Linked DNA regions of Xenopus tropicalis. The protein of the gene in region 2 purifies or fractionates together with the protein of the main gene of each other region. This does not show direct contact. Links are inferred from orthologs where the notes say so. Each region holds a gene or a part of one and is shown on either strand. Other genes may lie near its edges.

Region 1 (8,122 bases), on a different chromosome or scaffold from region 2:
TTGCAAATTCCTCCAGGGAGTTCAGGATATTCGTTACAAAGTTACAATTGTTTCAGTGCAATTCTGAGAAGTCGGAAGGTTTGCCTCAGTCACCTGTGCTTATCTGCATCAAAAATGATCCTGAAGGTGGGTGTTTTTTTACTGCATTTATTAATAAAGATTTGTTCCAAAAACCCCTATATCGCTCTCTTATTGCCTGCTATACTCTCGGCAATATTTGTGTGCAATTGTTTTTCCAGGGTAAGTATTGTAAGTTTAAAATTGCTCCACTTAGGTTTCTATCCGTGTGGGCCCATGATTAGCAGTTATCCAACCGTAAAATTCAGGTAAGTAAATTAAACACAAACCTCTGTGACGTAATGTCACGCACCTTATCCTATACCCAATTTGCACAATAATTCTCTTTACTACGCGTATCTGAGAAGAGAAACACCAGGAGGAAAATTCAGGCACACTAAGGGCTCCCAGTGTTTCTATGCAGTTGCGCTTATAGTAACAACCGTTGTATTACCTTTCCGGCAGTTATCCCAACAAACTCTTATTCAGAGATAGTGTCAAAGCTTCCACCTGGCTATCTTTAGCCTGACCATTACTACCGTTAAGACACAAGTGAAGCCGACCCCTAAATGGATATTAAGTTGGGTGCGGGGAGCTATAGGGAGGATCGGTGGTACTTAGTTCAGCTATTATAAGATAGTTAGTCGCCCCACAAAAATATTAATATAATCTTGGGGATTTCCGGAGCATAGGGCACACAAATTACACAGAAACTTAGGGGAAAGGGTATTATTATAAGTCTGAGCAGCCTGGAGTCCTTACGTTCACTGCGCTAAATGCACAGCTTGGACTACCGGCTTAAAGTTACTTATGATGAAACGCTCTCACCCCACCAGGGGAATCCCTCAAGTTTTCTCACCATTACTCACCCCTAATTAATGGTGAGAAACTTGAGGGATTCCCCTGGTGGGGTGAGAGCGTTTCATCGTAAGTAACTTTAAGCCGGTAGTCCAAGCTGTGCATTTAGCGCATTTAACCACTGCCTGGTTGCTAGGGTAAATTGGACCCTAGCAGCCAGATAGCTGCTGAAATTCCAATCTAGAGAGCTGCTGAATAAAAACCTAAATTCAAAAACTACTGCAAAGTGATTTAGAATATCACACTCTACATCATCATACACTTATTATATATATATATATGCAGCTTATTTTACAGGATGCAGAGGGGTTCCATCCTCATAAATGTCTCAAACGTTACCGTTTTTGGCAGGGTCTGGAGAGCTTGTTTCACTTGCGGCTCCATCTGCTTCATGGCTTGCACGGCATAGCGACCTGAAACACAGGAATGCATTACTAATCATATGTAATAGGGAGTTGCCATACCATAGCAGCAGCTCAACAGTGTTCTGGGGGGTCAGTATCTTTAATTCCACTTATGCAGCTTCTCTATGGGGAATGAGTGGACTGTACAGTTAATATGCTGATAAATAATAATAATAAGTCAGTCTGTAGAGACAACAGGCAAGCCAAGCTAAGTGAGTCTTACAGTTCTACTAACCCGCAAATCCTGCAACAGCGATGGTCAGTCCGGCCGCTATCAGGGTGCTCGCCTGCAAAGAGAATGAGCCTCTGTAAATAGGGGTGCCATCTTCTTCTGCAATCCCAGCCTTCCTATATCCCCCTTCCCTATTACTAACCCTGTATCCCTACAATCCCAGCCTTCCTATATCCCCTTCCCTATTACTAACCCTGTATCCCTACAATCCCAGCCTTCCTATATCCCCTTCCCTATTACTCACCCTGTATCCCTACAATCCCAGCCTTCCTATATCCCCTTCCCTATTACTAACCCTGTATCCCTACAATCCCAGCCTTCCTATATCCCCTTCCCTATTACTAACCCTGTATCCCTACAATCCCAGCCTTCCTATATCCCCTTCCCTATTACTAACCCTGTATCCCTACAATCCCAGCCTTCCTATATCCCCTTCCCTATTACTCATCCTGTATCCCTACAATCCCAGCCTTCCTATATCCCCTTCCCTATTACTAACCCTGTATCCCTACAATCCCAGCCTTTCTATATCCCCTTCCCTATTACTAACCCTGTATCCCTACAATCCCAGCCTTCCTATATCCCCTTCCCTATTACTCACCCTGTATCCCTACAATCCCAGCCTTCCTATATCCCCTTCCCTATTACTAACCCTGTATCCCTACAATCCCAGCCTTCCTATATCCCCTTCCCTATTACTCACCCTGTATCCCTACAATCCCAGCCTTTCTATATCCCCTTCCCTATTACTAACCCTGTATCCCTACAATCCCAGCCTTTCTATATCCCCTTCCCTATTACTAACCCTGTATCCCTACAATCCCAGCCTTTCTATATCCCCTTCCCTATTACTCACCCTGTATCCCTACAATCCCAGCCTTCCTATATCCCCTTCCCTATTACTCACCCTGTATCCCTACAATCCCAGCCTTTCTATATCCCCTTCCCTATTACTCACCCTGTATCCCTACAATCCCAGCCTTCCTATATCCCCTTCCCTATTACTCACCCTGTATCCCTACAATCCCAGCCTTCCTATATCCCCTTCCCTATTACTAACCCTGTATCCCTACAATCCCAGCCTTCCTATATCCCCTTCCCTATTACTCACCCTGTATCCCTACAATCCCAGCCTTCCTATATCCCCTTCCCTATTACTCACCCTGTATCCCTACAATCCCAGCCTTCCTATATCCCCTTCCCTATTACTCACCCTGTATCCCTACAATCCCAGCCTTCCTATATCCCCCTTCCCTATTACTAACCCTGTATCCCTACAATCCCAGCCTTCCTATATCCCCTTCCCTATTACTAACCCTGTATCCCTACAATCCCAGCCTTCCTATATCCCCTTCCCTATTACTAACCCTGTATCCCTACAATCCCAGCCTTCCTATATCCCCTTCCCTATTACTCACCCTGTATCCCTACAATCCCAGCCTTCCTATATCCCCCTTCCTTATTACTCACCCTGTATCCCTACAATCCCAGCCTTCCTATATCCCCCTTCCTTATTACTCACCCTGTATCCCTACAATCCCAGCCTTCCTATATCCCCCTTCCCTATTACTAACCCTGTATCCCTACAATCCCAGCCTTCCTATATCCCCCTTCCCTATTACTAACCCTGTATCCCTACAATCCCAGCCTTCCTATATCCCCTTCCCTATTACTAACCCTGTATCCCTACAATCCCAGCCTTCCTATATCCCCTTCCCTATTACTAACCCTGTATCCCTACAATCCCAGCCTTCCTATATCCCCCTTCCCCCTGGCATCATGCAGCCCAGTCAGTATTAGCCCAGCATCTATGGTATTAGCCCAGCACCTACAGTGGGGGGTACAATTAGAGGGCAATATGTGCACTTTAAGCGCCAATGTAACCCCCCAGCCGATACAGGGCTAGCGCCCCCATACACTGTATAGGCACAAGGGCACTGCTGCCACATATCCTGCCATAGGATTTTATACACACAGACACAGCTAGAACCCCCTGAAGGCCAGTCCTGCTAGTCACCCCTGATTCGCTATTACACTATGGCTACCTGCCTATATATATATATTACACTATGGCTACCTGCCTATATATATATATATTACACTATGGCTACCTGCCTATATATATATATATTACACTATGGCTACGTGCCTATATATATATATATATATATTACACTATGGCTACCTGCCTATATATATATATATATATTACACTATGGCTACCTGCCTATATATATATATTACACTATGGCTACCTGCCTATATATATATATATTACACTATGGCTACGTGCCTATATATATATATATATATATATTACACTATGGCTACCTGCCTATATATATATATATATATTACACTATGGCTACCTGCCTATATATATATTACACTATGGCTAACTGCCTATATATATATATATTACACTATGGCTACCTGCCTATATATATATATATATATTACACTATGGCTACCTGCCTATATATATATTACACTATGGCTAACTGCCTATATATATATATATATTACACTATGGCTACCTGCCTATATATATATATATATTACACACACTGCCTCACTGCTGCCTGACTTTCAGTGAAGTTGAGCCGCCCTGTCCTGTCTCACAGAGGAAATGGTTGCCCAGTGGGCCAGTACAGGGAGGAGCCAGCTGAGCCCCCACTTACCATCCTTACTCCTCACTGCGGGTTATAACCCCGGGGGGGGCAGTAGCTCAGAGCCCTTATCCGGGGGAGCAGAGGGGATCCCGGCTCAGCCCCGCCTCCCGCATGGGCCCGCTCTCCGCTGACAGCAGAACAAGGCGACTTTCCAAAGGTTACGGACTTACGACGTCACTGCCCGGGCTGTGTGCGGGGCGGCGCCATGTCACTAAGGGGCGTGCCTAACTGCTATTGGTGCCGAGTAACCGCACCACGTGACTGCCAGGGATGTACTGTATAGGGCTGCGGGGGGAGGAGCCACTGACAGGGCGGAGTAATCCATTCGAAGCTGATGTTTTGCTTGCTTAGTCACTCACAATTGGTTCGTTTATCACTTATTTGGATTTACTACACTATTATTGTTCTCTTTTTTTGTTTTTTATGCGCTTGCATGATGTCCTTTGTCTATCAATCAGAGGCCCATTTAAAAGGGGGGGGGGGGAAGCAGCAAGGCAGAAGATTTTTATATAGTAGTGGTGTTTGATAAGAGACACGTCCACTGAGCTCAAACTGTTCTTCTAAATCAGTGATCCCCAACCAGTGCCTTGGGGGCAACATGTTGCTCTCCAACCCTTTGGATTTTGTATTCCTAGCTTGGGGACAAATTTTGGTTGCATACAGGGTAGGGTTGGGTTGGGTTGGGTTGGGTTGGGGGGGGGTGCAGGGACCACCGGGGCTTCCAGCGCAGCCCCCCCCTCCTCTGAGCATGCATACTTAGGCACGTCAAGAGAGGTAAATACAAAAAGACAAGAAGAGTGTATTATCCATGTCTTATTATTCCTATCAGGCTCACACCGGGTGTTTCCCACCCAAATCAATAATAGAAAACAGAAAAAAAAAAAAAAAAAATGTTGGTGTTGTGCCCTAAAATCAACAAGCTTTATTATAGACTTTAGTTGAAATAGACAATAATTGTCATAATCAGTGCATAAAATCAATCAACTGCAACCACAGTTGATAATGTTTCAATTAACTAATTAACTCCAATGGAGCATGGAGTGGCAGAAAAGGGCGACTAATTTATTGGTGGGTGGGTGATATGCACTATATACTATATACAAGAATGTGCAGAGATGTAGGGGTCCACAATATTTATTCCATATAGGGATTCACATTAATCACTATAATGACCATAATAAATCATTAGATTACGTGGTCCATAATAAATTCATTTTTATAGACATCAATTCAATCCCTGATGTATAAGAGAGAGGACCTACGGGGCCCAGAGCACCCAGCAGGGATTGGTTCTGGGCCAGGGGGGGCCCACTGGGTTTTTTCCTGGTGTCCTGCCGGCCCTGGTTGCATACAAACCAAACAAAGCCTGTAGGCTGCCAGTCCAAATAGCCAATCACAGCCCTTATTTGGCACCTCCTGGAACTTGTGCTTGTGTTGCTCCCCAATTCTTTTTACATTAGAATGTAGTGCTGGGCGGTATACCGGTTAACACCGAATACCGGTGTTTTTTTTTAAAATTATATTCATTTTGCACATACCGGTGTGTCACGGTACTCACGTGCGGCCGGTCTTGCGCGCCTCCTTGCGCTTTCATGATACAAAAAAGTATTTTTAATAAGCTCTCTGGCATGCATGCGTCATTCCCGGTGCAGATCCCGGGAGTTGAAGCTTAAGAGCCGGAGGGCGGAAGTGCTTGGGATAAGGTACATGCCGGGACTTTGATGGAGCGCGAGAGAAATTTGATCGCTGGCAGAGCTTCACCCGTTACCATAGCAACCGCAGCCGGGGCACGGAGGCATAAAGCGTGTGCTTACATAAGCCGGGAATCGGCTGGCAGCTGTGTGAGGCAGTACTGCTGAGACCGGCGCAATGAATAGGAAGAAAGGGGACGAGGGCTTTGAGAGCCCCCGACATTACAAATTATAAGTATCCTTCTTTATGGCCCTCTTATTGTGCCTATCAGTATGTGCTGTCATATATTATTTATTTGTGTGATACGTTCCATACATACCTGGGGGGGGGCATCTGAGTCTCACCCTCTTCTTATAAATCTCCCTCTAGCATTGACCTGTGCCTCCCCGTGTGTCTGTACCTGTGCCTCCCCGTGTGTCTGTACCTGTGCCTCCCCGTGTGTCTGTACCTGTGCCTCCCCGTGTGTCTGTACCTGTGCTGCCCAAGATCATGCATGGAAAAAAAAATACCGTCAAATACCGTGACACCGATATAATTTTGAAAAATACCGTGATATAAATTTTTGGTCATACCGCCCAGCTCTATTAGAATGTGGCTCAAGGTTAAAAAAAAAAAGATTGGGGACCCCCATTCTAAAGGAACCATGTTTAAAGGGGACCCATCACCCACACAAAAAGCCACATAATCACAGTCCTTTGCAAATTAAACATCAAGCCCCAATTTTTTTTGTTAAATTCATACCTGTATGAATTGTATTTACAAATCTGAGCCGTTAATCATATATTGCCTGCCCCGCCTCTATGCCGCAGGTCACCCGGTGCAGGCAAAATATTTCATGGGCAAAACCTAAGGAAATTTGGAAGTTTCCACTTTCTTATAAGCCTGAACACTGGTGCAAAAGGGGTGGCTTAAGTAAGCTTTTTATTTTAAAATCCCCTAAAATGACTCTGTACAGCTCCCAGAATAACATACCTTTCTCCCTGCATGCAGGTTTAGTTTGTTTCTCTATTACAACAGCTGAACTGCAGCTCTTTTACTGACTTCTTTGTGCAGCATGAAGCTCCACCCCTTTTATAGTCTGAGCCCTCCTCTCTCCTACTATGATGACCTCAAGCGGTGCCTACTGGGCATGCTCATGCCTCTGCTCCAATTAAAATCAGGCAGCACAGTAGGCACCTCTTTGAGGTCATTATAGTTGAAGAAGAGGAGGAGGGCTCAGTAAGCAAAAGGGGTGAAGCTTCACTTTAGATAAGGAAAAAGAGATGTACCGTATATACTCGAGTATAAGCCGATCCGAATATAAGCCGAGGTACCTAATTTTACCTAAGAAAACTGGAAAAACTTATTGACTCGAGTATAAGCCTAGGGTGGGAAATGCAGCCGCTACTGCTAAGTTTCAATAATCAAATAAATAACAGATAAATAAATATATAACTTTAGGGAAAGAAAAATGCTACAGCAGCAGACCAAAGCAAGTTTGGGAACACTAAGGAAGCTGCCATACTAATTATCATCAATTATTATAAGTACTTGGACACCAGTGTACAAGTCCCACCACAGTACTACAATAGTAGTTACAAGGGCAAAATAATTCTTGATGCTGGACTTCAAGTAGATTAACAGTTATAGGTTAGGTTAACAGTTATAGGTTAGGTTATATTTAACTAAGCTATGCAGCTTATAAGTTAGAAATAGAAAAACATCTTGTTTTGTTCATTCCTTGATATATTGCACAATAAACAAGAACTCCCTTCAATAAAACTCAATGGAGTGGCAAAATACTTCTATGGTGCTACCGTATAAACTTCTCTGTGTAGTTTTCAGTATCATTATTCATATCCTCCACTGTCACTGGCATCAGTTAGTCTGTGTAACCTTCCAGCTAACTGTGATTCCTGGCATTGGTCTCAAATAAAACAGGCAACCCATAGTTGACACATGTGCCTTTGAGAAAAGCAATATTATTATTAACTGCCACAGCAGAGGTTTAAAAGCATATTTCCCATTATGCACCCAACATCCTCCATCATTTAACACAAACGTGCTTAGCACTGGGACTATCAAGCCCTATCTGTACCTGTGTAATTTGATTTCAGCTACAGCACAAGGTGACTTGTTCATCACAGCAATAGAAGAAACTTTTAGGAAGCACAGTCTAACTCCGCGACTAGAAGGCAAAGTACAGCGGGGAGGCAGCGCCACTTCCG
Region 2 (8,026 bases):
ACTATTTATTGGGCTGCTGGGGGGCTGTTTGGGCCTCTGTGTACTTGCCAAGGTCTAATATGAATGCCAGTCCAGCATCAATATGTTAGAGATCCCGGCCCACACAGCCACTACTGATAGGAGCAGATTTAAAAAGGCAGCAGTGGAAACTGTTATAGCCACCAAATATTGCTGACTTCTAAAGAATCACTTTAAAGCTTTAAATATATAAAGTAGTGGCAGCTATTAGGATTCCATACTGACAGGCAGCATGTTTACAGATTCCTGCTTGATGCCTAAATCCTTCCATGTCAGATGCTAATCTCCCTGTGCGGATGAATGCATGGGTAGGCATAGTTCTGCGCTCCTTGCAATGCTTTAAGCTCAATGGCAAACCAATAGCTGCAATTTTCTACTCAGCGGTGCCATTATCTGCATCCATGTTACTTTCACTGCTACAAGGCATTCCTTATGGCTTGTGAGGCATTTTGGCCGGAGGGTACACAAATAGAGCAGATTGTACAGAACAAGGTCCGGACTACAGAAAGTAGCGACATACCAAGGATTCCAGGGCAGAGTTGGGGGTTGCAAAGGTGCCCCCTACCAGCCCACTAAATAGTGTCTATCTTACAGCAGTCACTATGGGATTTGCCAGTCCGGGCCTGGACCTAGGCCTTATTATGTATGTAACACACGCCACAACAATTGCTTTTATTAATTCTGGGCACTGACATAGATCATGAGAAGGTAGTTCTGTGCGATGCCAATTAGAATGGGCAAGTCAGTGACTTAGGACTGTGGGAGGGTCTAGACTAGACTAGCCTGGAAGAATTTGTAAAAGGTTTCGGGTCATCTCCAATTAATTCAAAATGATATAATAAAACAGTACCTTGTACTTGATCCCAACTAAGATATAATTACCCCTTATTGGGGGCAGAACAGTCCTATTGGGTTTATTTAATGGTTAAATGATTCCCTTTTCTCTGTAATAATAAAACAGTACCTGTACTTGATCCCAACTAAGATATAATTACCCCTTATTGGGGGCAGAACAGCCCTATTGGGTTTATTTAATGGTTAAATGATTCCCTTTTCTCTGTAATAATAAAACAGTACCTGTACTTGATCCCAACTAAGATATAATTACCCCTTATTGGGGGCAGAACAGCCCTATTGGGTTTATTTAATGGTTAAATGATTCCCTTTTCTCTGTAATAATAAAACAGTACCTGTACTTGATCCCAACTAAGATATAATTAATCCTTATTGGAGGTAAATCAATCCTATTGGGTTTAGTTCATGTTTAAATTATTTTTTTTTTAGAAGAAATATCCCTTATCTGAAAAACCCCAGGTCCTGAGCATTCTGGATAATAGGTCCCCTACCTGTATTACAAAAAAAATGAACGCATGAATCTAATTGCATATGGAAAAGCTATTGCTGGGTGATTTCATTGCACTGAAGCAGAGACACAAGAAATTAACTCACTAATGACCCCAAATCCTGCTTTGTGCATGTCAAATGATAGAATATTGTATAGAGGTTGGGCACAGCAGGGTAACCCATCCTTGGGCGGCACCTCACCTTAGACTGCAAGTAGAAGGATCCGCCTACTTCTTTGTCATTGACCTTGAACAGGTGCTCGTAGTTCTGTTGAGAGACGGAGTGAGGTCACAATAAAAGCCAATCAGCTGAATGAACAGACTGCGAGTGAGAATGCCAAGGATACGGCAAGGCTAATGACAATAACCTCACTGCTGCCATTTATTATTGATGCCAATGTCATGTAACACTGAAACAAGGTAATACGCCTGAGGGAGCAGAGAGTCAATTGTCTCTAGGGAAGGGCAGAAAAATAAACAGTATAGAAACAGAATTCACTAAAAAGAGGGCATGACAGGGTTAACTGGGTCTCCTAGGGCCCACTGGAGAACCTGAAACCTTAGGCCCACTCTCACAGTAATTCAATACAGACAGTGCTCAACAGTATAGGTTTTTACATAGGCCCATGGCGGAATTAAACATGGGCTGATGGGAATTATCATAGGCCGACCTTGTACAGACAGAACAGATGAATTAATGATATTAATGCAATGATGCAACTATATTTATATAGATATATAATAAACAAGAGCCGTTAATATCCTGTAAGTTTAAATGGTGCTTGGCGATATAATCAGTTATAATTGCTCAATATTATAATAAATAATGTACTCCCTGTTAAAAAATATGAGGATATTAGAAGTCACCTCAGGAGTTCCATCACCTGTATAAAAGTACAGCTTTTGGTCTTGTGCTTTTATATGGTCATGCAACTCCTCAGTAACTTATAATATCCTAATATTTTACAAAAGGTGGTACTTTATTCACTATATTATATATATATATTTTTACAGTTTTACCTTCTGGATCTCCTCTGGTGTCAGTTTGGAGACATTTAGGATCTGCTGGGCCTCCTGAAGGCTTATGCCAGACAGGCTGCTGACTGCCGCTGACTCTGTCCCAGCTCGCCCCCGCGCTTCAGCTGCTGCCCTGCTTGCTACAAAACAGACCCCATAGGGAAAGGAGAAGAATTAGTGAGAGCAGAGACAAGGGGCAGCCATCCCTCTGGTGAGAACCATTTAGGCAATCAAAATGTTTTGCACTATTCTGGGTGATTTCCTGGACATTTTCCAGGGTGGGAGAAAATTATATAGAAATTAATTGGGTGTTTCTGTGATTCCATAAATAAGGTTTCTTAGCTTAGTGTGTAGTGTGAGCCTTCCTTCTCTATTAGAGGTTACGCACAAGGCACTGCTACAGAAGCACCCCAAGGGGCCACAAATATATGGTCCCTATCTTTTCTTGCACAATACCCAACCCTTCAGCATCTCCTCATATAATTACATGGAAGCAAATGCGTGGCTTTTAAAGGGGAACTAAATGCTGAACACTTTGGCAATTTTTTTTTTAAAATCAAAGCCTCCCCTTCTCTGACAGTGGTCATACACAGTACAAATGGTTAGCAAATGAAACGGCAGAGCCATTGCTCTGTTTATGTGTACAAGTGCCAAGTTATGAAAGATTATATACGTATTAGATATTATAAAATATATATATATATAGTTCTCATTATATTGATAAAATTAGTATTGGATTCTTATTCAGTATCTGTATTGTAGTCTTACCAGCAAACTCCTGCCGTAGGGCACGTGTGAATGCCCGGCCCACCACTTGCATACCCATCACCATGATCTGTGCCAAGTACTTGGCCTGCAAAGGAAACAACAAAGGGCACAGGGGGTAAATAAAAAGCAATTATGTCCTTTTGTGAGAATTTGAACATTAACGTGAGCTGGGGACAGAGAGGTTTTATCAACAACCAACTTGTTGGACAATGGAAGGCGAATTCACCGCAAGTGCCAATATGTTGGGCAAGTTTTTCCCTGGGCTGGTGTGCCTTGCCTGATAAGGTGTTTGATAATATTCAAGCAAATAGTCAGTGAACCATAATGGGGCCAAGTAAGAAAGAGATAAGAAAGCTTAGTGCTGGCAGAGTAAACAGAACCAGAAAACTTTTAACATAGAAAATCAGAAACAAAAGGTATCATACTAAAAGGGGTATATACCCAAGGAGTCTATCTGAAGCAAGTGGCGTAACTAAGTGTCACTGAGCCCACCAGCAAATTCAATTAAGGGCCCCCAAAACATTGATAAATTGACCCATTCTATCAAGCTCTATTGAAATTGCTCATTACTTAGGGCCTTACTGGGCCCCCTACAATCCAGGGCCCCTTGCAGCTGCAGGGTCTGCTTCCTCTATAGTTACTGTCTGAAGTCAAAAACAAAATAAAACTTGATCTGACTGCTCTTTTGAGAACCTCTGCATCTTTTAAAAAACAGGCTTCTGCTTTAGGATGTGCTTTCCCCAGTATATACTGTACAGCGCTACAGAATACACTGGTGCCATAATAATAATAAATTCCATAATCACACTGTACAGCGCTACAGAATATGCTGGCGCCATAATGATAATAAATTCAATAATCACACTGTACAGCGCTACAGAATACGCTGGTGCCATAATAATAATAAATTCCATAATCACACTGTACAGCGCTACAGAATACACTGGTGCCATAATAATAATAAATTCCATAATCACACTGTACAGCGCTACAGAATATGCTGGCGCCATAATGATAATAAATTCAATAATCACACTGTACAGCGCTACAGAATACGCTGGTGCTAAAGTGATAAATCACAAAAGCCTGGAGGTTTACTAAGCAGTTGGTCAGTTTTTATAAACATATGGAATTCTTTTATGGAAAGAAATCTAGGGACAGAGTAACAAAACCAAGGGCATATTCACATCCCTTCCCTTGTTGTGTTGCCTTGTGTGTGTGCAGCAGTGACACCAAGTACGGACACCAGAGTTGTCACCTGTCCCTAAATTCCAGGGACAGGTGACAACTCTGGAGTCCGTACTTGGCGTCACTGCTGCACACACACAAGGCAACACAACAAGGGAAGGGAATATGAGCCCTGTATACATGAGGCACAGCAATAAGAATGGAACAGTGTGTCTATGCTGGAAGTATAACACCACAAACAAGTGCCAGTGCCACAGGGTATCGAGCTGCTGAGACAGGACATGTCACCCAGCCCCACAGGATTTCACGTCTCAGTCTGTCACTTGTCCTTACTCCACGTTTAGACAGATCCGTATCTAATACTCCTTTACCCTATGTCTTACTTACCATCTTGATTAGGGGCCCAGCGCTGAAACACTCAAGGTTAATCGTGCGGGGTCAGAGGGAATAGCGCAGCCGGAAGACACTAGGCGGCCATATTGGTCCTCTCATTCGTCCACATGGGTTACCATGACAGCTCCGCCTTGGCTGATGTAACGTAACCAGACGTCCGGCAATGCTGCCTTTTTGAATGACGTTACGCACATGGTTCAACCGGATATGCAGTAGCGCCATCTTTGTAGTTCCAGGATGTTGTGTTTCCTTATGAGAGCCGAATAGGGGCTTAGTTTAGTTGGGAAGGTCGCGGCTTGGTTTTGTTGGTTTTGCTTTTGTTTCACTTAAAACCAGAATAATTAGAAAATAGTATTATTAATCAAATAAAAGAAAATACCCCTCTATAGGGGCAATGTTCCCTCAAAGCTGTGCGCAATTGTTTTTAAAACTTTGTTTTTATTGGTTTTAATATATTGTATGAACAGAAGGTTCCAGTTATACTGGTCACATAGTATGTTGGGTAAGAACAATTATACAACAATAGAAGAGAATAAAAAAAGTAATGAAAATCACTATAAGCTCTGGGTTATTGCCTCTTTATATGATTGATTAATACCAAACAGACAAAAGAAATAAAGTATAAAAATAATTCACATTGTAGTACCCAGTCTTTAAAATTATGATCACCAACGCTACCCATAGGGGGAGATTTACTAATTCACAAACGGTCCGAAGGCGTCCGAATGCGTTTTTTTCGTAATGATTGGTATTTTTGCAACTTTTTCGTCGGCATTGCGACTTTTTCGTCGTCGTCGCTGTCGCTAAAAAATCAGATTGGTTTTTCCGCCGTTTACAACCGCTCAATACGAAAAAATCTCGACAGCGACGAAATAGTGGCGCAAAATACGATAAAGTCACGGTGGTGACGAAAAAATTGAGACGCCGACGAAAAAGTCGCAAAATTTTCGTTTCCAATCCGATTTTTTCCCTTTCGGGATTCGGATTTGTGGATTAGTGAATCTCCCCCATAGTGTTTCTAATTTTCAGGCCTGCCCACACACAAATTGTGATGCACACAAAGAATATTTTTGCGGAAACACAAAATGTTACATTTATTCAGACCTGAGCACACAGTTTAAAACATAAAGTTTAAAATGCCTGCACAATGTTTTTTTTTGTTCACATAGCTGAGAAAGAAGCAGAGGACACTGTGTATTTATTAACATCAGAGACAAACATAACTGGTGATGTCGACCAATCAGCAATTAGATTTGAATGGTCACCTACAAGAAAACAAAGCAAAAATTTGATTGGTTGCTATGGGCAACATCACCAGTGCTGTTGTCTCCAATGTTAATAAATACAGCATTGTGTAGAGATCATCTCTTCCATAAGTTTCATGTGATGACTTCTCCGGCTACTGGAGGATCTTTTCCCCATTTGGATGTAATAGAAAGTCTGGCTGTGAAGCTAAAATTCATCTTACAACTTTTCAATTGGTCATCCTTTTATAGTTTTTGAATTAATTGCCTTTGACTTTCCTCTGGCGTTTTCCAGCATTCAGATCAGGGTCAGTGACCCGTAGAATCAAGAACCTGAGGCTACTGTTTTAATATTGCTTCTTGATATCTTTCTGTTCAGACCCTCACCTATTCATATTCAAGTCTCTCATTCTGGTTGCTAGGGTTAATGGGACCTTAGCAATCAGATAGCTGCTGAATTTACATTTTTACACAATTATACGGCTAGACGAAATTAATTAAAATTAAGTTAATTAAGAAACCTTTAAAATGTTCCTTTTAGGCTATTTAGTACTAGACAGACCTTGCTCAGCAGTTCCTGTGTACCAGAAGTGCCCGCCTATAGGTTCTATATTATAAATTCAAAATAAAAGTAAGCCAAGAGCATATTCAGTGCAATATTGTAGGTCTTTCAGTGCTGAGATCCTGGTTGTGTTATAATTCTCGATATTCCAGTTTTTCACTCTTTACCAGTTCCTGTTACTCTGCTGCCAGCCCTGACCTTTGCCTGAATTCTGTTGATGAAACTTGTTAAAACATTTGACCATCAGTTCTGAACTGTGTTCCTGCCTCTCCTTTAGGGTTATCTTCATCCCAGTCCCAATATCCACTTACAGTTGCCACCTTTTCCCAATTTTATGCCAGACAGACAGGTGGGGATATCATGTGGGTGGAGACTGGCAGGACTAGGGTCACAGACTGGGAGATGGGGATGGTGGGAGTGGGGATTGGGGTGAATGTGAGGGCTTAAATGGGAAAATTGTAGGCATAAATGGATAGCGGCACCAGCAGGGTGGCAACCCTACATCAAAAGGCCCCACGGCACTGACAACATGGCCATAGTAAGGGCTACATACACCAACGAGTATAGATACATGTCAAGAGGATATCTTATTGCCTCCTCGCAAATCACTATAATTGTCATGTTGAAGCAGTAAGGCTCAACATGTAAAGGGTTAAGTTTTCAATTTAGAAAGTCTGGTTGGAATCCACATTTGAGGGAAATTCACAAATACCCCCTAAAGACACAACCAGGGACTGTGGAAGGTGACAACTTCATTACGTTTCTTTGATCTGCTGATCAAACCAAGGCAAAGTGTGGACCTAGAACTGCAGGGGGGAACAGCATACAGAAAAATCTGGATTATAGAAAGGGATCCATATCTCCTTTGCTTTAGGGTTCACATCCTCATAAATCATATATTGGTTATGAGGGGGCCGCATGCTTCCCAATGATACCAAACAGGGACGGCCTATACCCACCAGTTAGGGGGGATAGTTTCTGGGGGATTGGGACAGGAGACACCCCTCATGTTTGGTATCATTTTGATCACCCACATATGGGTTAAAACAATCCCCTACTTTCATAATAATATTGGCTACTGGCAAGTACCAATATTATATGACAAGAAACTGGCATAAGAAGTGCAGCTCTTTACAGGGGGGGTCATGTGACCAGTTTCTGGACAATCCCCCTCATGCATACTGTAATAAGGGAGGGGCCCAGCGGGGGATAAAAGCACGCATGCCCAGGTATTCTTTAGCTCATTCTGGAGGTCTCAACTTATGTTGGAGTGTGGGCTCAGGATTTCCAAATTCCTACCTCAGAGGACACAAAAGATAACTAGGTATTTTATTTCCTTTTATTTTATTTACTGTTTGTATGTACATGTCTCTTTTTGTAAAACCTTTTTTGCACTGTTTACCTTTGTAATATTAAATATAAAATTGAATAAGTTCTGTCCTTCGGCTCTATAACGATCTCCACATACCTTGTATAACTGCTCAGGCCTAAAG

What was found.
Region 1: the proteins of pam16 (region 2) and dnajc19 purify together in Homo sapiens (affinity purification with mass spectrometry; 3 studies listed by BioGRID and IntAct, with this or other methods). This does not show direct contact. The link is inferred for Xenopus tropicalis from reciprocal best matches to the Homo sapiens genes PAM16 and DNAJC19.

Annotation. Positions count from the first base shown.
Region 1 is NC_030682.2:8,216,834-8,224,955, reverse strand, and holds the start of dnajc19 (mitochondrial import inner membrane translocase subunit TIM14), read right to left. Parts: upstream 4,335-8,122; 5' UTR 4,236-4,334; coding exon 4,233-4,235; intron 4,152-4,232; exon of another isoform or gene 4,118-4,151; intron 1,607-4,117; coding exon 1,555-1,606; intron 1,329-1,554; coding exon 1,255-1,328; intron 1-1,254. UniProt on the Homo sapiens protein: Mitochondrial co-chaperone which forms a complex with prohibitins to regulate cardiolipin remodeling.
Region 2 is NC_030685.2:20,382,113-20,390,138, reverse strand, and holds the start of pam16 (mitochondrial import inner membrane translocase subunit tim16), read right to left. Parts: upstream 4,818-8,026; 5' UTR 4,725-4,817; coding exon 4,722-4,724; intron 3,232-4,721; coding exon 3,147-3,231; intron 2,519-3,146; coding exon 2,382-2,518; intron 1,630-2,381; coding exon 1,564-1,629; intron 1-1,563. UniProt on the Homo sapiens protein: Regulates ATP-dependent protein translocation into the mitochondrial matrix. Inhibits DNAJC19 stimulation of HSPA9/Mortalin ATPase activity.